Drosophila melanogaster: one gene and its partners. The protein of the gene in region 3 interacts with the protein of the main gene of each other region in a pairwise test. Each region holds a gene or a part of one and is shown on either strand. Other genes may lie near its edges.

Region 1 (4,918 bases), on a different chromosome or scaffold from region 3:
ACTGTCAGTCAGTCGGCTGCCAGGCGTCAAGCCCAAAGGTTTAAAAGTGATTCGAAAGCGTTTTTGAAAGTGATTCGAAAGCGATTGCTGCGTCCGATAGCCGATAGCAGACCAACCTGGCGGAGGGAACAGCGACGGAGCAATCGATACCCAGGCCACAGCACCAATGAGCCGCATAGGTGTGAGAGAGACTGGGGCGAGCGGTACGTCCGAGCAGCTGCAGCGGGAACAGGATAGCGACACATCGGAACAGGCGGTGCGGAAGCAGGAACGGGATCTCAAGGAGCTCCTCGAGTGGTTCCGGCAAAATGACAAGCTGCCCAAGGAGATTGGTAAGCGATGAGCCCGAAAACCGTGCGGGAATCCAACATCCGTTCACTGCCCATCAGTCCCATTCCACCTCCCACCACCCACCGTCCATTAATTAGGTCGTTAGTAGGCCGCTCCGCTCGCCGCCTTACGTCACTGTAGTCAATTGTATACAAACAGTGAATGTACAGGCAAGTCTCCCTAAATCGAACCGCACTTCCCAATTCAATATGTCCAACACGATGTTTGAATTAATTAATATTCCCGTAATGTGCAAAGTTCCATGGGCTTAACTCCTTAGCAAAAACTTCATTGTATCGTACCATATGTGTATTAACAGATCCGCTGCTGCTCCGGCGCTTCTACCAGTGCATGTTTGGAGACGTGGAGGAGACTCGGAAGCTCATCGAGGTGAACTACGCCCTGCGCAACCGGCACCCTCACCTGTTTATCAAGAGGGATCCTCTAGACGCGGACAGCAAGCGCACCTTTGACTACGCGTAAGTGTGTCCTTATTGGGAGAAAAGATTCCCTTTCCTTTGAGGCAGGGCCATGTTCCAAAAACATACATACCCGTATACCCCAACACTCGAATTTCAGAGACATTCTACCGCTGCCTGGCCTAACGCCGGACAAATGCAAGGTGTCGCTGTACTGCTTTCGGGAGTTCGAGGCCTCCAAGGTGAGTAATAGCTTCTCTTTGCTGTAGGAACTTGCGCTCCATACCGCCGATTGCTATCCCCAGATGCACCACACGGAGGACACGCGCGCCTTCTTTATGGTCAGCGACTGCCGGTTCGTGACGCCGGACGATCTCGCCAAACCGGATGTCCTGTCCGAAGGAGAGGTGCAGATATTCGACATGAAGGGCACCACAATGCGGCACATTTCGCGGCTGACGATCAGCACGCTGCGCGCCTACATCAAGTTCCTCCAGCTGGCATTTCCGGTGCGCCTGCGCGCCATTCACATGATTAACTGTCCAACTTACCTGGATCGGATCGTCAGCGTGGTGAAGCCGTTCATCAGCGACGAGGTCTTCAAGCTGGTGGGTTTCTTGAGAAGCCATTATGTCTCTAATAGCTTCATCTCACCATTACTTTCTACACTTTAGATCCGTTTCCACACGCAAAGCATAAATACGCTGTACGAGTTCGTGCCGCGGGAGATGCTGCCGGAGGAGTACGGCGGAGGAGCCGGGTCCTTAGAAGCACTGCGGACCCATACCCAAAAGGCCTTGGTTGAGCATCGGTGGGTTTCGATCTGCATGTTATAGTTATTCAGTAACGCCTCGTTGCCTTTTGTAGCGACTATCTGATGGACCCCGATCACTGGGTGGTGGTGAAGCCGGAGAAGCGGAACGAGAGTTCGTGGAGATTTTTCAAATGATTACCTAGAACATCTTCCACGGTAGCAAGGAGTCTCCTTCAACTGAAGACGGTTAAAAGTGTTTCAAGTGTATTGGGATAAACAGTTCCTGTGGCTTTTCATCTCTTAAATATCCATTTTTTTTTTAAATTTGTGTTGAAATTGCTCAAAAATAAATAAGTAAAAAATGCGTTATCCGTTTTATTTTTAACCCAACAATGTACAATTATTATACTAGTATATATTTATGGAAATACAACAAAAAAAGGGATTTAATTGAAACACACATTCAAAAGTAGAATGCGCAAAAGGCCAGTGGAGACAAAAAGCGATTATCGATAGCGAACTATCGAAATATGCCTATCGTTATCGCACGACGTTGTTAGTGGCATTATTTATTTTGTTGCGATTTAGCGTTTTTCCAACATAACATTGCTAAGTGAGGGACCCCGAATCGCACAGCATGGAGCGGCCACAGAAGATGCCCAAGGTGGCCAAGGTATGTGCCATCGTCGGCAATCCACCAAACCAACTTATCCAATCCAAAATTTCACCAGGTCAAAAACAAAGCGCCGGCGGAGGTGCAAATTACGGCGGAGCAGTTGCTCCGTGAGGCCAAGGAGCGAGATCTGGAGATTCTGCCGCCGCCGCCAAAGCAGAAGATCTCCGATCCCGCCGAGTTGGCAGACTATCAGCAGCGGAAGCGAAAGACCTTCGAGGACAATCTCCGCAAGAACCGCATGGTAGTCAGCCATTGGATCAAATATGCTCAGTGGGAGGAGCAGCAGCAGGAGATCCAGCGGGCGCGCTCTATCTGGGAGCGGGCGTTGGACAATGAGCACCGGAACGTGACCCTCTGGCTGAAATACGCCGAGATGGAGATGAAGAACAAGCAGGTGAATCATGCTCGCAATCTGTGGGATCGGGCAGTGACCATCATGCCGCGAGTCAACCAGTTCTGGTACAAGTACACCTACATGGAGGAGATGCTGGAGAATGTGGCAGGGGCGCGACAGGTGTTCGAGCGCTGGATGGAGTGGCAACCGGAGGAGCAGGCCTGGCAGACCTACGTCAACTTCGAGCTGCGCTACAAGGAGATCGACCGGGCACGGGAGATCTACGAGCGATTTGTCTATGTGCACCCGGACGTGAAGAACTGGATAAAGTTCGCCCGCTTTGAGGAGTCTCATGGGTTTATCCACGGCTCTCGGCGGGTATTTGAGCGCGCTGTGGAGTTCTTTGGTGACGACTACATCGAGGAGCGCCTGTTCATCGCCTTTGCACGTTTCGAGGAGGGTCAAAAGGAGCACGACAGGGCGCGCATCATCTACAAGTACGCTTTAGATCACCTACCTAAAGATCGCACACAGGAGCTGTTCAAGGCCTATACGAAACACGAGAAAAAGTACGGCGACAGAGCGGGTATTGAGGATGTGATTGTTTCCAAGCGCAAGTACCAGTACGAGCAGGAGGTGGCCGCCAATCCCACCAACTACGATGCCTGGTTCGACTATTTGCGCTTGATTGAGGCTGAGGGCGATCGGGATCAGATCCGTGAGACGTACGAACGGGCCATTTCCAACGTGCCGCCTGCCAATGAAAAGAACTTCTGGCGACGCTACATTTACCTTTGGATCAATTATGCTTTGTACGAGGAGCTTGAAGCGGAGGACGCGGAACGCACGCGGCAGATCTACAAGACCTGTCTGGAGCTAATACCTCACAAGCAGTTCACCTTCAGCAAGCTTTGGCTGCTGTACGCCCAATTCGAGATCCGCTGCAAGGAGCTGCAGCGAGCACGCAAAGCTCTGGGCTTGGCCATCGGCATGTGTCCCAGAGATAAGCTCTTCAGAGGCTATATTGATCTGGAGATTCAGTTGCGTGAGTTCGAGCGCTGCCGCATGCTGTACGAGAAGTTCCTGGAGTTTGGACCGGAGAATTGTGTCACTTGGATGAAGTTTGCCGAGCTGGAGAATCTGTTGGGCGACACGGACCGGGCGAGAGCCATTTTCGAGCTGGCGGTGCAGCAGCCGCGCCTGGACATGCCAGAGCTGCTGTGGAAGGCGTACATCGACTTCGAGGTAGCCCTAGGCGAAACAGAGCTAGCCAGACAGCTTTACGAGCGACTCCTTGAGCGGACGCAGCATGTGAAAGTGTGGATGTCGTTTGCCAAGTTCGAGATGGGCCTCAGCCACGGCGACAGCGGGCCAGATGCGGAGCTGAACGTGCAGCTGGCAAGGAGAATCTATGAGCGAGCCAACGAGATGTTGCGTCAGCTGGGAGACAAGGAGTCGCGTGTTCTGTTGCTAGAGGCATGGCGCGACTTTGAACGCGACGCCTCCGATTCGCAGGAGATGCAAAAGGTAATGGACAAGATGCCGCGGCGCATCAAGAAGCGGCAAAAGATCGTCTCGGACAATGGCGTCGAGGAAGGTTGGGAGGAGGTATTCGACTACATCTTTCCCGAGGACGAAATGGCTCGACCCAATCTCAAGTTGCTGGCTGCAGCTAAGATGTGGAAGACACAAAAAGACAACACGGTGGACGACCCGCCCGCTACAGCTATTGCATCTGAGCCAGAACCTGCAGCTGATGCTGCCCCAGCGGATACGACGGATAGCGGTGACTGATTCACTTCCGCCTAAAAATCGTTGCTTTTGAACAAAGCTAAATATCTGAAATTGCAGATTTTTCGCTTTATTTTTGGATACCTTAGTAATAAACCACTTAAATAAAAAACTATAATGATCTTTTTTTTTGTTATATTATCTGATATATTTTTCTGCTATTGTGCTTTAAAATTTTTCTCCCCAAAAAGAGATTATAAAGTTCTTACTTGGCCCTCAGCAAGAGTGTGAAAACAGAGTATGTGAACCTCATGACCTGGAATCAAGTGAATCATATCATATTTGAATCAAATCAAAGGACATTTGAATATATAATTGTGCCTTGCCTGCTCGAAGGTCTCCAGCGAGAGTGCGATGTAGTTGCCTGCGTAGATAAGAGAAGGCCGCTGCGTCCTGGCCAGGGTGAAGAGCAGTTCGCGCTTGAACTTGGGCAGCTGTTCTATCCAGTTGCAATCGTAGAAGGCATCGCACAGCGCCTCGCTCTGTGTCCGCATCCTGTCCCCAAAATAGCAGATTACAAACACCTCCAAGGTGACGGCCGAGAAAAATACAATCGAGATGATCATGGCGGTGTGGTCGTGGTCATCCGCTACGTACAGGAAGTGCATGGCGAC
Region 2 (3,378 bases), on a different chromosome or scaffold from region 3:
CGAAATTAAGTTTCATACCTTAATACAAAACCTAAACACACACGAGGTCCTGGGTATATACCATTGCACCTTCGGATTTAAGGAGTTCACATTCGATGCGAAGAAACTGGGAGAAAACCGTACCACAGCACTTAATATTTATGTGGAACTAAACACGTATCTCATGTCTAATGAGGTCTAAGTATTTCACAACTTATATTAGCTTTCGTTTCTAATATTTTTCATTACAGGATCCCATCCCCATGACCTGGAAAGTGCAAGGGGAACATAGGCTTTTCAAGTTGCACATGAAGCATCCAAAAATCACTTTTAACTCGGATCCAGTTTCAATTTACTTTGATTGAGTTTGATTGCCAAGGAACGAAGCTGTAGACTGATGACTAGTTTGATATGCCAGCTGAGATAGATAACTTTAAATGGCCGAGCCAAATAATTAGTTGTACGTTTTCCCTGGTTATGGAAAAGATTCAACCTTACCGGCGGATTTCAATGAGAAGTTTCCAGGAGTTCTTCAATGCAAGCTCCTCTAGAAGCTGCCAAGGATTGACAGTACTATTAGTTACAAAATAAAGGCTTAGTTTTATTGAGACTGTGTGTCAACTTAATTCAGGAGTACAACTCAAATTCAGTGCGCTCAGCATCCGTCATCGGTTCGACGACTTGAAGGCAGGCATTAGCGAACTCCACGAAGAGTGGCTCCTGCATGGCGGCCATCATGGCCGACTGGGCATTGATGGCCACATCAATCTGCTGGAGCAGCGAACGCAGGTGTGGATTGTGGAGCAAATTACGCAGTTCCTGGCAGTTTTCTGTACGGAAACCATCATACTATGAGAAATGTGTATAATTGCGAATTTAAACACCTACCTAGTTGCTGGAGCTTCTCCGCGGCAACTGTGTCGTCGGTGGGGAAGGGCACATGAAGCGTAGGTTCCTCCTGGTAGCCAACTTCAGTCTTTTTCAAGTCGGACTCCCTTGTCGCACATTGGGGCGAATCCCTGTGTGTCTTATAACAAGCCACAGAGCAGCTACATTTTGCGACATTTATTATCTCCGTAGTGAACTGTTCGAATAGCTACTTACTAGGGTGCCGAGCATTTGCTGCACTTGTATTTTCTCAAGTTATCTACGCAAATAATGCATTTTTCCATCTCATCAAATTCAATGTCGCGTGCAAAATAAAACTCAGCTGTGCGAGTTTTATAGCCTCCAGCTTTTGCCTCTATCGAGGGTTCCAAGCCGTTTCTGCTCCACTGGAACGGCGTTATGTTTTTGGAGGTAAACAATCAAAAAGTTAAATGCAAAACGCAAGCAGAATAATATTAAAATGCGCATAAGATCGCGGGGCTGCATGTTAATTTAGTGAGAAAACAAAACTAGTGGAGTTCTACGACGAGTGTGTTGAAACGAATCCCATAGCTTAGTTAGATTGTTCTGTAGCTGCCAGCCTTCGTCAACAGATGAATTCTATCTTTGGCGCCATTACTTTTAATTTGAATTTGAACAATTTGCTGGAACAAATAAAATGTTCATCATCAACATTCAATTTTGCTCATCATAAATAAGTAAATACTTTATATAGTCAGAAAGCTTCAATCTACTGTATCTGTATCTCACTGACTTACATATTGAAAACGTTTAAAGATTATCCACAGGTATTTTAGTTATTAACCATACGATTAGCGGAGTGTTTGGTCAGATTGAGGAAGACATAGAGTCGTCCTGCCCTTTTCCGGTTACGAATAGCCTTATTTGATTGAATGTATCCTGTGTATCCGGTCTGTTTGCTTTGGCCAGTCTCATTTATGGGCCATCCCGGGCACGTCATCTTCCGTGAGGCTTCCGAGCAAACAAACGAGGAACGCTTATCATTGCCCTCCCATTTTTCCGCCCCAAAGCCTCCCAATCCTTTCCCCCCGCCGCCGATGGCAATGCGCAGTCTGAAGCCACCTGGCGAATTAACCGAGAATTCGACAAGCGCGAGGGGAGCAATCAAATGACGGTCGGCGTGTCCGCAAATTGTAAACATATCCTGCACACGGAACGTACTGAAACGGAACGGTCCTTCCCGGGAAGGAGTCGTTCAGATCCGCTCCAGCTCCAAAGACAAGTACAGTACAACCAGAAGTAAAAATAAGTACAACAGTGAGGCTCGATTGGTTAACCGAAGCATGGAATGCCCTTTGTTATTAAGCTTTCTTTCTAATGAAAACGTGTTATGTGTATGCACAATATATAGTCCTAAAAAGTAGGTTTAGTTGCAAGAGAAACATCTCATTTATATGGCCATATTCAGCTATGAAATATACACATATAGATGTGTGTCATTAAGATTTGATAATAATGATAGTCCTATAGGTAATGTCATTGGGTTATAACTTCTTACAGTCCTGTATACGATAACTACACCCATTGAGATCCTTCGTGTCCTGCTCCTAGTCTGAGCCGTAATAACCTCTGCGAGGGTATGGCAAACAGCGAAAAACTTTTGGTGGCAATAAATGACTTCAATGACTGACTGACTGACCGGATGGGGTGGTCTAGGTGCATGGCTATACTCGTATATGAATCGTTTTTTTTCTTCTTGTTTCTGTTGCCATATTTTGGGGGACTTGTAGCCGGGACTGGTTGTTGTTATTTTCAATCGTTTTTGCTTTGTTTTCTGAGCGCTACCAATTGGATTGCACAAAGAAAAACGAGTGGTACAAAAGAAAGCAAAGGATGCAGGCTAACAAAGAGTTTGGGGATGTGGAAGGTCTGGGGAATCGGGCCGGGTAACATGATGTGGCGCCTCTGCCGCTTCCGCTGTTCGTGAGGCACAAGCGCGATAATTGCCAGCGTTATCCGCTCGGCCTGCCAGTCAAATAGGCGCAGCAGCAGAGGCGCTGGCAAGCAGCGGCTATCGGCGGTGGCAGGGATTTCGGGGGGGCAGGAAGACCCTTCGTGTGACTCGCCTACTTTTGATTTACAACATTCGTGCAACATCAGCAGCAGTGTATCGCCAAAAGGAAAAGGGGCGACCAATGCAAACAGCAAGAAGAAAAGCGAGACACACGCCACCAAATGGGGCGAAAGTTTCTCGCGGGGTGCAGTAGTGGCATTTTCCGAGGGCAGGTGTCGTTCGTTAGGAGTTTTCAGCGTTTTTCATTCCCAGCTTTTCCCAGTTACCAAATACCAACTACCAACTACCAACTACCAGTTACCAGCTAGCCGCCAGCGAAAAAGCCAAAAGCGATATTAATAGATAGCGGCACTTTTCGCTTCGTTTTTATCGCCCGAAAAGCCAAACGAGGAAAACACTGGAAGGTGGAAAAATAAGGGGGCAGATAGTCCTGGCAATTGGGCAGATTGACAGATCATGCAATCGTAGTGGCACAG
Region 3 (4,185 bases):
CTGTCCAGCGTGGAATCGAAGCTGTCCGAGCAGATCAACTACTTGACCCAGGTGTCCACGGGTCAGCCACACGAGGGTTCCGGCTATGCATCCGCCAAAGTGCTCCAAATGGCTTGGCATCGCATTCAGCACGCTAGGTCCAGAGTGCGTGAACTTGAGGAAACTAAGGCCAAACACTCACATGCAGCTCGTCAGCAGTTGAAGCGTCAGCAGGAACATGCCGCCGCCCAGCAACAGCAGCAGCAACAACAACAGCAGCAGCAGCAACAACAACAGATGCAACAGGCGGCACAACAGCAGCAACAACAAACCGGAGGAGGAAATGCCGGCAGCGGAGATCATCCCATGGGCGGAGACTCCTCAATGTCAACCAACTAATCTTGCGCTATCTTTAAGGGTAAGGGTTTTAAATTTTTTAGAGTGCATTCCGAAAAGGCACATTTTGTCAACCAATTGCGTTAATCGAAACATAAGTGACACTCTTTTTAAGAAATACATTTGCATACTACTATTTGTACTTTATTTGCCTAACTTAGAAGCTAAAGTTATAATGCATCCGGTGTTGAATCAACGGTTTTATCACAAGTGGTAACCAACGTTTCTTGATTTGGTTTAGCTTGACCAATGCCAAAGAAATTTCTCTCGCAAACATGTCGCACGCACTGCAGCAGGACATTTCTTTCATGGCGTATATCGGATTCTAATAGTTTCGACAACATAGTGTTCGGGGTTTGCTTGCGCGCTCTCTTGTAGTTCAAGCCATAAATTCGCTTTGGAGCTGCTCTTTTGGGTGCAGTTTGTGGCTTCGGTTCCATTGGTTCAGGAGGTGGTTTGACTGGATCTGACGCTGTTATAGTTTCGGTCACTCGCTGGAAGGGCTCTTCATCCGGTCCTTCGTCGGAGGAGCCATCTTCCTTGGCAGGCTCTGAGTTAGATGTAGTTATTTGACTAATGTTGCTTATTTCTCGCGGCACTTGGTCTGATGATGTCATTTCCAACATAGGTGTAAAGTCTTCACAAGTTTGAGTATTATCAACAGAGTTAGGTGTATTTGAAGCCTCAAGGGCTGGACCCATTTCTGTGATTTCAGATGGCATACTTTGGGAGCTCTCTACTTGTGCTGGGATTTGTTTACTGCAGTCTGCTGTATTCTGATCATCACTCTCAGCTTCACTTTCTTCGTCACTATCTGACCCGTACATTCCAAGAAAGCTAGACAAAGCATTATCCTTCTTTTGAACTTTTGCCTTAAAGTGCTGGTACTCCGGCATTTGTCCAGTTCCTCCAAATTTAGCATTTCCCAGGGAGCACAAATTAACTTCCTCTTCTTTTTTATCTTCATTAGTTTCTTTCTGCTTCAAAGCTTCGTTTGCTTTATCAGTACCAACACGTTTTTTCTTCTTTTCATTGGCTTTCCCTTTGGCACATCTCTTTTTCTTGTTTTTCGGATCGAAACGAACTTTGTGATCTCCCTGGGGTCCTCCTCGCGTCCGTTGGCGATCTTCCCGGTTTCCGAAGCGAGATTTCGAAGCCTCCAGGCGCTCTCCGCGTTTAATTCGCTGTTCCTTGGCTAATCTAGCCAGCTCAACATTGGCCGCAGTGGGAAATCTACAATTTGAGCTGCTTATTTTAAAGAACAAAAGAAATTTCTACTAATTAACTTACTTTTTTCTTCGTTCTGCCCTCCAAGCGGCCAATTCTTCCTCGGACCAAACTTTCTTTACCTTTACGTAGGTTCCTGTGATGTGATTGGATTCTATGTGACGTTCCAGGATGTTGTGGAGCGCCGCAAAGTCGCAGTCATCGGCAGGGCAGAACTCGTGTTGCTCCAGGTGGAGTTTCATATCCTGAGAGTTGGCCAGCTCCATTACACATGTGTGACAAAATTCCGGTCGCGGAGGAGAATGGTAAACTGGCGGGGATGCAGGCACGCTCACTGGGCTGCTCTATGTTTTGAATTAAGGAATGTTTAAAGAACAAGCTCGAACTATTATTGGTGCACTCACTTGTTCTTGGTGCAGATATTTAGCTGGCACTGTTGATCCTCGTGCACCGTACATGGGCGGCGGTTGCTTGGAGCGCGGCAGCAGGGTCATCCCGCTGGGGGTCAGGTAGAGGTGATTGGATGTGGTGGATCCATTGGGCTTGCCGAACTTTGGAGACGGTAATACGAATTTCGGCAGAACCTTTTCTTCCATTTCGTCGCGTACAAACGTTAGAAACAATGTGCGCGAATGGACATAGTGTGACCGAAGCTATCGAATATACCAACATGCGTACTACATTTTAAAAGGAATGTCTTTCTTAAGGTAAGATTTATTTTTATTAAAATCATTTAAAAGTATGAATAAGTGCTATTTTAAAATACCTTCGCTAAAATTCGGGTTTTTAATAAATTTAGAACTTATTTTAGACATTTTTTCTTAACAAAATTTATTAGATTAGTCCGTATTTAACAATGTAAATTACAGGTTGTTTTTATATTTGGGCAATCCATTGCAAAAAGTGCCGTTGTTCCTGCAACAACTTATCGATAGTCCCACCCACATCGATAGACTAGTATGACCGCACCGCACTGTTGTTGGTATCGCGACTGGCAAGACAAAAACAATTAGCTGCGAAGTGCAAGTCAATTGAGAGAGCCATCTTAATTGTATTTATTAAGTTTAAGCGTTTAGATTAGTGCGAATACTCAGCGGCCAACGAAATGCAGAGTGTTCTCAACACCGTCAAGGGCACAGCGCTCAATGTGGCCGAATATCTGACGCCCGTTTTGAAGGTAAAAAGTGCCAAATAAACGGAAAACTGATCAAATGTGTATTTCAATACGTACATATGAAACGAGGGTGTACATATGCATCATGACAAAGAAAACCCGCAAAGATAAGGGGTTTCCTCGCTCTAATATTGATTCCATTTTCCCGTTCCCCATTTTCCAAGACTTGTGTTAACGGCCCCCGGGAGGCTATAAAACTGGATCCAACGCCAGACTGTCTCCAAACGTAAAATAAGGGGCGTCCCAGAATTCTCGGCCTATTTTTGTGTCCTTTTAAGAAAACGGCCTACAATAATGTAACGGTTTATGGGAAATACTTACATTTTAGCGTTAAGATTAAAGATATGGAACTAATATACATATATACTAATTATTTATCAATTAAGAATTCTAGATACAACTTTCCACTTTGTTGGTTTTGAATTGTTGTACAAATATCGTTATTTTTTTTTTGCAGGAATCGAAATTCCGTGAGACAGGTGTTCTCACTCCGGAAGAATTCGTGGCCGCCGGTGATCACCTGGTGCACCATTGTCCAACTTGGCAGTGGGCCGCTGGCGATGAGACCAAGACAAAACCCTACCTACCAAAGGGTATGTGCTGCGATTTTCCACTAATAACTAGCCAATTGACTCATTAAAATCATTTCGCCCCCACTTAGATAAGCAATTCCTGATAACGCGCAATGTTCCCTGCTATCGTCGCTGCAAGCAGATGGAATACGTCGGCGAGGAGACGCTGGTGGAGGAGGAGTCCGGTGACGGCGGTTGGGTGGAGACTCATCAACTGAACGATGATGGCACCACCCAGCTGGAGGACAAGATCTGCGAACTGACAATGGAGGAGACAAAGGTGAGTGCGGGTGAAACTTTACCACGACTATCATAATCAAGTACTGCATTTCAGGAAGAAATGCACACTCCAGATAGCGACAAATCTGCGCCGGGCGCTGGGGGCCAGGCTGAAGACGAGGACGACGACGAGGCTATTGACATGGACGATTTCGAGGAGAGCGGCATGCTGGAGCTGGTCGATCCGGCTGTAGCCACCACGACACGCAAGCCGGAGCCGGAAGCAAAGGCCAGCCCAGTGGCAGCCGCATCGGGCGACGCGGAGGCCAGCGGTGACTCTGTGCTCCATACACGCACGTACGACCTGCACATCAGCTATGATAAGTACTATCAGACGCCGCGACTCTGGGTGGTGGGCTATGATGAGCAGCGCAAGCCACTGACCGTGGAACAGATGTACGAGGATGTCTCGCAGGATCACGCGAAGAAAACTGTCACCATGGAGTCCCATCCGCATCTTCCAGGTCCCAATATGGCCTCTGTGCATCCATGTCGGCATGCGGATATCATGAAGAAGATTATACAGACGGTAGAGGAGGGCGGCGGTCAGCTGGGAGT
Region 4 (7,047 bases), on a different chromosome or scaffold from region 3:
AAAATCTAGAGTTTTTATTCCCAAGTCCAGTTTGGATGGTTTCCATTGTGCCGTTCACTTCTCCAGAGGAGCATAGTTGAGCAGTTTTTCGATAAGATCCACGTGGCCCAGGAGCATGCGACGGCAGCAGTACCTCTTTAGACCCAAAGCATCCAGGGCATCTCTGGGATTGGATTGTAAGATATAATATATATATATTATATGATGAAATGCGGCGTGGAAAGGAGACTTTCCCGCGTGACTTACCCTTCGGTGTATTCCGCTTGCAGGAGACCCAAATACGACTCCCACTTGTTGCCAATGACCTTGCCGCAGGTGAAACAACGGATTGGAATAATCATTTTGTAGATCAGGCTCTAATTCTTAGTTAAATCACGAAAAATGTGCAATCACAACAATGTTTTTGGTAAAATGTGTTTTTACTTGTCATGAGTGTGACCAGAGTGCAGTTGTATTTTTATCTCACCAGCATTACAATGTATCGATAACACAAAAACTTATATCCATTCAAAAAGAACGCTAACGAATATTTGAATAAATTAATGGTTATTTTTATTAACTACCGACTGCTCGCTACATGAATGCGTTTTTTACAAATGAGTGTGTAAATAAATATTTTTGAACAGCGTCGAAGACTAAAAGTGCGTTAACTAATTACTGCTGGCCGTGAGATGCTCGCCGGCCACTTCGACGGAGGTGGATACCTCGAACAAATCTTTGGCTGACTCCTCGCTGTCGCCGTCGTTCCGACCCGCACTGGACACATCCTCCACCGTGCCCTTTTTCACATCATCCGATCTCTTTTGCAGTCGCTATACAAGGAAAGTCTCAAATGTTAGCATACGGAAGAATTTCTTGTCTAATTTTACCTACCGATTCGGCGGCCTCCTCGTCGGGCACAAAGATGCGAAGTGGCGTGTTGGCGCCAAGTTGCTGCTGCACCAATCGCTGGTGCTCCTCGAATGCACTTGCTGCTGGATCCTGAGCCACCTGCTGCTGCTGCTGCTGTTGCAGCTGCTGCGGCGGATGGTGCTGCACTGGTTGCTGCAACTGCTGTTGCTGCTGCTGCAATTGCAAGAGCTGCAACTGATGCTGCTGGTGTTGCTGCTGCAAGTGTTGCTCCTGTGCCTGTGCCTGCAGTTCCTCGAACTGCTGCTGTTGCTGCTGCTGGTACTGCGCCTGAGCCCTCAGCTCCTCCAGATGCAGCTGATGCTGCTGCTGTTGCTCCTGGGCCTGCGCCTTAAGCTCCTCCAGATGCAACTGCTGCTGCTTTTGCAGCTCAATGGCGGCTTGCTCTGTTTCCAGTTGCTGTCGACGTGCCTCCTCCTCTGCGTAGGCCTGCAGCAATTGGGAAGAGTCGTGGGCATGGCCATAGAAGTTGGACACCACGAAGCCACCTTCCGGAACGGAGGCAGTGACCGCTGACGCCACATTGGGCAGGTGGAAGGAGGCCGTCTCGTAGGCACCCTCATTGGGATCACCCAGTGCCGGAGCGGCAATAAGAGCAGCATATTGTGGCGCCGAATCAAGTACAGGATGGATGTTGTGATGTGGATCCTTGGCTGCCTGCAGTATCTGTCCATTGCTGGCTACCTCCTGGGTGAGATCGGCGTTCACGTAACCCGTTTCCACCACCGGTTCCGAGCTGGGCTTGAAAAGCTGCTGCTTGTGGGCCGAGTACAGTTGGTTGGACTGCGTCACCAGGTAGGTGGGATTATAGATGGGAATGTGGGCAGCCGGAATGGCGGCGATAAAGGACTGGGAGTGAACCGCCGGCTGGGCATACTGAATGGGATAGATCTCTGGCGCCGTTTGGGCTGCCGTCTGGGCTCCCACAATCTGAACCAATGGCTGGGCTGGCAGATGGTTACTCTGGACGTCGGCGGGCAGCGGTTTGTTGTTGCTGGGCGTATTGAAAGATTCGGTGGCGGGGCGAATCTTGGTGGTGGGCAGCGAGGGATCCGGATCTGGGGCAAAGAGTTTCTGCGAACCCGAAATGGGATCACGAATGGTTTGGTCATTGGTCTCGTCCTCATGCACACTGTACTTCGGTGGCAAATATGTCTGGGGACGGGCTGAGGAGGATGGTGTTTGGATCTGGGTCTGGGAAGGAGGCTTGTACAGGTAGGAGGTGTCAAGATGACCCTCCTCCACGTCCAGGTGATTGTCGGCCAGGTTCGGTGCGGGTACCGTGTAAATGGGTGCAAAGTGCTCGGTGTTGAAGTTGTTGTGCGTGTCCAGCTGTGGGGGATCAGCATGAATGGAGTTATGTTATATGTTCAGGGGAGTGGGGGGCATGTGCAGTATAAGGATATCTTAAGAGCAGGACATTTTCAATGGACTCCACTTACCGGCAGATTCTGCAGCTCGCTGTAGCTCACAGCAGTGGGCTTCTCGTACTTAAAGGGCTTGTCGTATCCGAATGTGGGTTTCGTCTTGGGCTTCACATTGTTCAGTTTGATCTTCAGTGGTTTCCTTAGAGATCCAGCTGGTTTCAGGTACACGGGCGACGGACCACTCAGCTTCATGGGACGAGGTGGTCCGCGTAGGTGCTGATGCTGGTACTGATGTGGCACATGGATCAGCGGATGCGAGTGTAGATGGGCATGTGAATGGGCGTGCGACAGGACATGTGCAGGATGCACGGAATGCGGATGGGCCAGATGGGCGGCATGGCTGTGCGCTCCATGTCCAGGACGACCCTTCAGTACCAAGGGCACCGGTTGATCGCTGCGTATTTGGACGACCAGCGTGCGCTGCTTTCCAGGCGCTCCAGCGGATCCAGGACCTCCAGCTCCAATGGCGGGACGACTCAGCTGCTTGGAGCTCTTCGGTGGCCAGTTGGTGAAAACCAGTGGACGCTGCTCGCAGTTAGCCAGCGCCAGGAGCAGTGCGAACAGCAGAAATGGCTGGCGAGGATGGGATGGGACAATGTCAAAGACCATTAAATCAAAAACATAATTACTCGTACATACAGACATCGAACAAAACGCCGAAAGAAATAAAAACTTTCTAAGCCCGGCAAAGGCGAAGAAGAAAAAAAGGGGCGGTGAGGAAGGAGGAGGGTCTTGTAATCGCTGGACAGCAACAAAACTGTAATGGCCTTAATTTGAACAAATTGGCGGTTTTCTAAAATTTTATCACGTCGCCTGCCATTGGCTACTTAACCAAAGCTGCTTAAGCAAACGAGCCAAACAAAGTAGCTTCGCATTTATAAATATACATACATATATATTTATACGGGTATGCCATAATACTTTGCCCATTTTCCCCGCTTCGATGGCTGATTAAACTTTCTGTCCACAATGCCATAGAATGAAAGTGAAAAGTCCGTCATCGAAATGTCTTCGTTCTATAAATTTTACTGTCGCATTGTTTACAATTCGGCGGGTATAATGCATCACTGACTCATTTGGTGACACTTTCATTGAAATTGGCTTTAGAAACTTACAGCCTACCTTATACGTTATATACGAGTATTTTGGATTTTTCATGCATTTTATATAGGTTAAAGGGAATGGCTCTATTAGTTTAGGTATAACACAATAACGAAGAAAGAAATACATATCATGCATCTAATAAATTTATTAAGGCGTAAAATGTCAGATTTTTATAGAAACATATATAGGAACCATTAAAATGAAATGCATGTTATTCCTTGAAAAGAATGAGTATGTGCCTCTTCAGCGCGGCTGGCATGGGTCTCTTTAGTCTCGTCGATGGAAGGGGAAGTGGGTAATTTGAGGCGGCCACTGGACATTGAAATTTCACCTGGGCAGCGCACCAGCAGAGCCACTGGAGCCACCGGAGCGGCGGCAATGACAATGGCAATACGGTGTGCCGTTAGCCAGACGTCAATCAAGAGGTGAAATGCCTAGGCGAGTCCAATACGTATAGTTATTGATTACGTGCTGCGTTTGCTTAAACGGATTGCCGATTGCAACTGAAACTGACTGCAGCGGCGGTGATCGGGGTAATTGCCACAAAATTGGTGGCTTATTGTTTATGGAGTGGTTAGTTAGTAAGTTAGTTAGTTTGTCGCCATTGCAACATGCATCATAATCATATGCAAATACCAGGGGCGGCCTGCTGGTGAATGAACTGCTGCCAGGAGACGGGTGCCCGATGCCAAACACTGAAAAGTCTGGCAGGGAATGGCCCACGGCGACGGCGGATAACCCGTTCAACGAAAGTCCAAATGGAATTCGCATAATTTCGGGTTTCCTTTTGGGCTTGGCCGGCAGTGCCATTGAACCTGACAAAGGATTTTTGCCAACGGCCTAGGCGGAACTATTGATCAGCGGGCTGTCGCCACAGCGTCGACCATAAACAACGGTGTGGTTAACCCAAATTGCAACTCGAAATGCAACTTTTATTTTAGCGGCAAGCATTTTATTTTCAAGCCCGCTGCACATTGAGGCAGCCGCCTGTGCCTCACAGTTTGCAGCTTGCAACTCACAGTGTGCGATGCAATTGGTGCACGTAAAGCCATCCATTGTCTGGATCTTGGCGAAACTTGGCGCATCAAGTGCTCCCATTGCAAATGAAAGTGCTCGCTTTGCCGGCCACCTTGCAATTTGACAAATATTCCGACGACTTCAATTCAATTGAAGAAGCTACAGCTTCATTGTGCAGCGATTGCAATTTGCTGGCTTTGCTGGCGAAGGTGAAGGTGATACCAAATTTGAATGCCAATCTCAGTCTGAAGTCGTTGATCGCCGATGAGAAGAAGAAATGCCATTGAATTTGCAATAGAAATTAAAGCCAATCCATTATTGTGTTATGCTGTGCGCAGTGAGAGACTTTTTAATAACCGCTAATTGTGGCCAACAAACTCACAATACCCGCGTGAATCACTTACCCTCATCTTCTTTCGGATTTGCTAGAGATTTTCGTTGTTTTATTGTCGGGTAGCTGGCTGATGGATCTGGTAGACTGTAGAAAGCTCTGGGGCAAATGTCGAGCAACTTTTGGCTTCTTCTGCTACTCCAGCAGCAAATAGATGAAGATCAAAATGGCAATTAGGTATATAATCACGTCAATTAACTTCATGTCAACGAGCGCCGCGGCGCTTTCTTCGATCTTAAACTGCACGCACAAAAGATTTGTAAAGAGTTTCGAATATAAATTCGAGGAGCAGCGACGTCCGCACCTGTTCAAGTCGCGAAGACAACTGACTGTTAGTTGGTCGCTGGTGGCGGACAAAAACCATGTGCCCATCCGCTGGAGTTCCACTGGAATGGAGTGACGACTCGCATTGGAAGTGCGCACTGAAGAAAGTGGTCGGATTTTCTTGACTCTGGCGCCGAATGAAATACAAAAAAAAAAAAATAAAATAAATAAAAAGCCAACAAATAAAACTAGTTTGCAGTGGATAAAGCGCAGCACGCGACCAGCAGCTACATGAATTGCCAGCAAGTGGCCGATTAATCGCAACGAAAGTGTTTTCCCATTGACTGTTCTTGGCCGGCGAAAGAAAGGAGCGAAAGAGACGGCGCCAAACAAAAGACTTAAGCAGCGAACTTGTTGTCGTCGCAAGTCAGCACTCGCTCTTTACCTTAAAAAGCAATGCGGACCAGGCGCACATGATCAAGAGATGGCCCCCCAATGCCGCCGTCTGTCACCTGTTGGCCCCACTTTTTAAGTCTTTTTTTTTGCTGGGGCAGCAAACAGGAGCAGAGCCACCGATTGAAATTACGAAATGCGGCAGGCACAGTGGGGAAAATAGCAAACATTTTAAAGCGGAACCAAACAATATTTTGGGAATAATAAGATATTATTATAACATTTTCATACTTTTTAAGATGTTGCCAATATTTTTCCAATAATTTTAAACTCATATTTAACTGCATTAAATATCTGGCTAAACTCGTCGAAGACTCAAAGGAATGCGTGAAAGCTTTTTCGAATTAGTTTTTGTACGGAAGTCAGCTCAATTGGGGGCTAAGGGTTTCGTAGAAAAGCTTGAGCTGTATTTTAAGCGATATTTGATGGTAATGTAACTTAATTCAGATGTGTCCCAAAAACGAATGGATGCAATTTCCATAACCAATGGATTCCGTATGATAGGCTTCACATTTCGGATGTACATATACCAAAGGCCCTTCGATGATAATGAGACATGCTTATGAAACGCTCCCCAATAATTGGTCGCATTTTATGCAAGGCGCGACATCCAATTTCTAAACGCAATTGGTCATTGGAATTTTATAACGCCCGGCCAGCCATTTTTTGGGTCAGTATTTGGCGGCCCAAAGTTTTGGGACATAAATCAAAATTTCACTTTCATAAAGCTCTCAGTTTGGTGGTAATTTCTTTGCTATTTTTTTCCGTATTTATATTTTATTTTGAAATATTATTTTTAACAAGGTTTTTTAAACATTAACAACATAATATTATTATTATACCTTTTATTTCATACATTTATCATTTCTTTTGGTTTTTTCTTTCGGTTGCGTTTTAGACAAATGTTTAAAATATGCATTTTTAGCTCTTCAATTTGTTATTTAAAATGTTGTTTATTTTTTGTTGTTTTTGCCTTTGCAGGACCATTTTAAACTAATTTGTCATTTTATGCTTTCTGCTCTGATTTCGGTTTAGTTTACTTTAATTTCAATGTAAATTAATGAATTTTTTTTATCGCTTTTTACGTTTTATTTATGTCTACTTTTACGTTTTCCGTTGTGTAAATATACCTCATATAAATAGCGAGTAAAAACTAAAAAAATGTAACTACATTAATATGATTTGCATTGTTTTTTTTTTTTTTGGGTTTGCATTATTTATACAATTTATTTAGCACACATTGCCGGATGTGTATGTGTGCGTGTGCGGGTATCATGTGAAAGTGCTGCGAAATTATAAAAAATATTTTTTCGTTTTTCTTTTTTTGCTTGGTTTTTTAGTTGCAATTTGTTATGTTAATTATGATATCTTAATATCGTTATTCCTTAAAAAAATGAACATTTCCGCCTTAAACCTGTAAAATTATCATATTAGTTTCGGTTTTCGTTTTGGTTTTTATCTGCAAACGTTGATTCTATACAA

Evidence for each region.
Region 1: the proteins of Nufip (region 3) and crn interact in a two-hybrid assay, tested with the Drosophila melanogaster proteins (one large-scale study listed by BioGRID).
Region 2: the proteins of Nufip (region 3) and CG8204 interact in a two-hybrid assay, tested with the Drosophila melanogaster proteins (one large-scale study listed by BioGRID).
Region 4: the proteins of Nufip (region 3) and CG13627 interact in a two-hybrid assay, tested with the Drosophila melanogaster proteins (one large-scale study listed by BioGRID).

The regions. Positions count from the first base shown.
Region 1 is NC_004354.4:2,247,086-2,252,003, reverse strand, and holds crn (crooked neck), read left to right. Parts: upstream 1-2,020; 5' UTR 2,021-2,140; coding exon 2,141-2,176; intron 2,177-2,234; coding exon 2,235-4,307; 3' UTR 4,308-4,410; downstream 4,411-4,918. Other genes in the region: CG3191 (uncharacterized protein), read left to right, coding at 167-332, 650-809, 910-991, 1,055-1,357, 1,424-1,560, 1,617-1,698; Or2a (odorant receptor 2a), read right to left, coding at 4,510-4,560, 4,631-4,918. UniProt on the Drosophila melanogaster protein: May be involved in pre-mRNA splicing process. Involved in embryonic neurogenesis and cell rearrangement during Malpighian tubule morphogenesis.
Region 2 is NT_033778.4:15,572,583-15,575,960, forward strand, and holds CG8204 (uncharacterized protein), read right to left. Parts: upstream 1,410-3,378; 5' UTR 1,152-1,409; coding exon 1,084-1,151; intron 1,029-1,083; coding exon 868-1,028; intron 810-867; coding exon 607-809; 3' UTR 562-606; downstream 1-561. Other genes in the region: CG30466 (uncharacterized protein), read left to right, coding at 1-175, 231-344.
Region 3 is NT_037436.4:18,746,111-18,750,295, forward strand, and holds Nufip (nufip), read right to left. Parts: upstream 2,258-4,185; 5' UTR 2,199-2,257; coding exon 2,007-2,198; intron 1,947-2,006; coding exon 1,666-1,946; intron 1,609-1,665; coding exon 546-1,608; 3' UTR 501-545; downstream 1-500. Other genes in the region: MED11 (mediator complex subunit 11), read left to right, coding at 1-378; Atg3 (Autophagy-related 3), read left to right, coding at 2,708-2,779, 3,234-3,369, 3,438-3,628, 3,683-4,185.
Region 4 is NT_033777.3:24,710,912-24,717,958, reverse strand, and holds CG13627 (uncharacterized protein), read right to left. Parts: upstream 5,180-7,047; 5' UTR 5,053-5,179; coding exon of another isoform or gene 4,984-5,052; 5' UTR 4,868-4,983; coding exon 4,862-4,867; intron 3,176-4,861; exon of another isoform or gene 2,982-3,175; coding exon of another isoform or gene 2,976-2,981; intron 2,910-2,975; coding exon 2,352-2,909; intron 2,242-2,351; coding exon 874-2,241; intron 813-873; coding exon 651-812; 3' UTR 529-650; downstream 1-528. Other genes in the region: Polr2L (RNA polymerase II, I and III subunit L), read right to left, coding at 55-163, 247-341; CG46316 (uncharacterized protein), read right to left, coding at 4,984-5,052.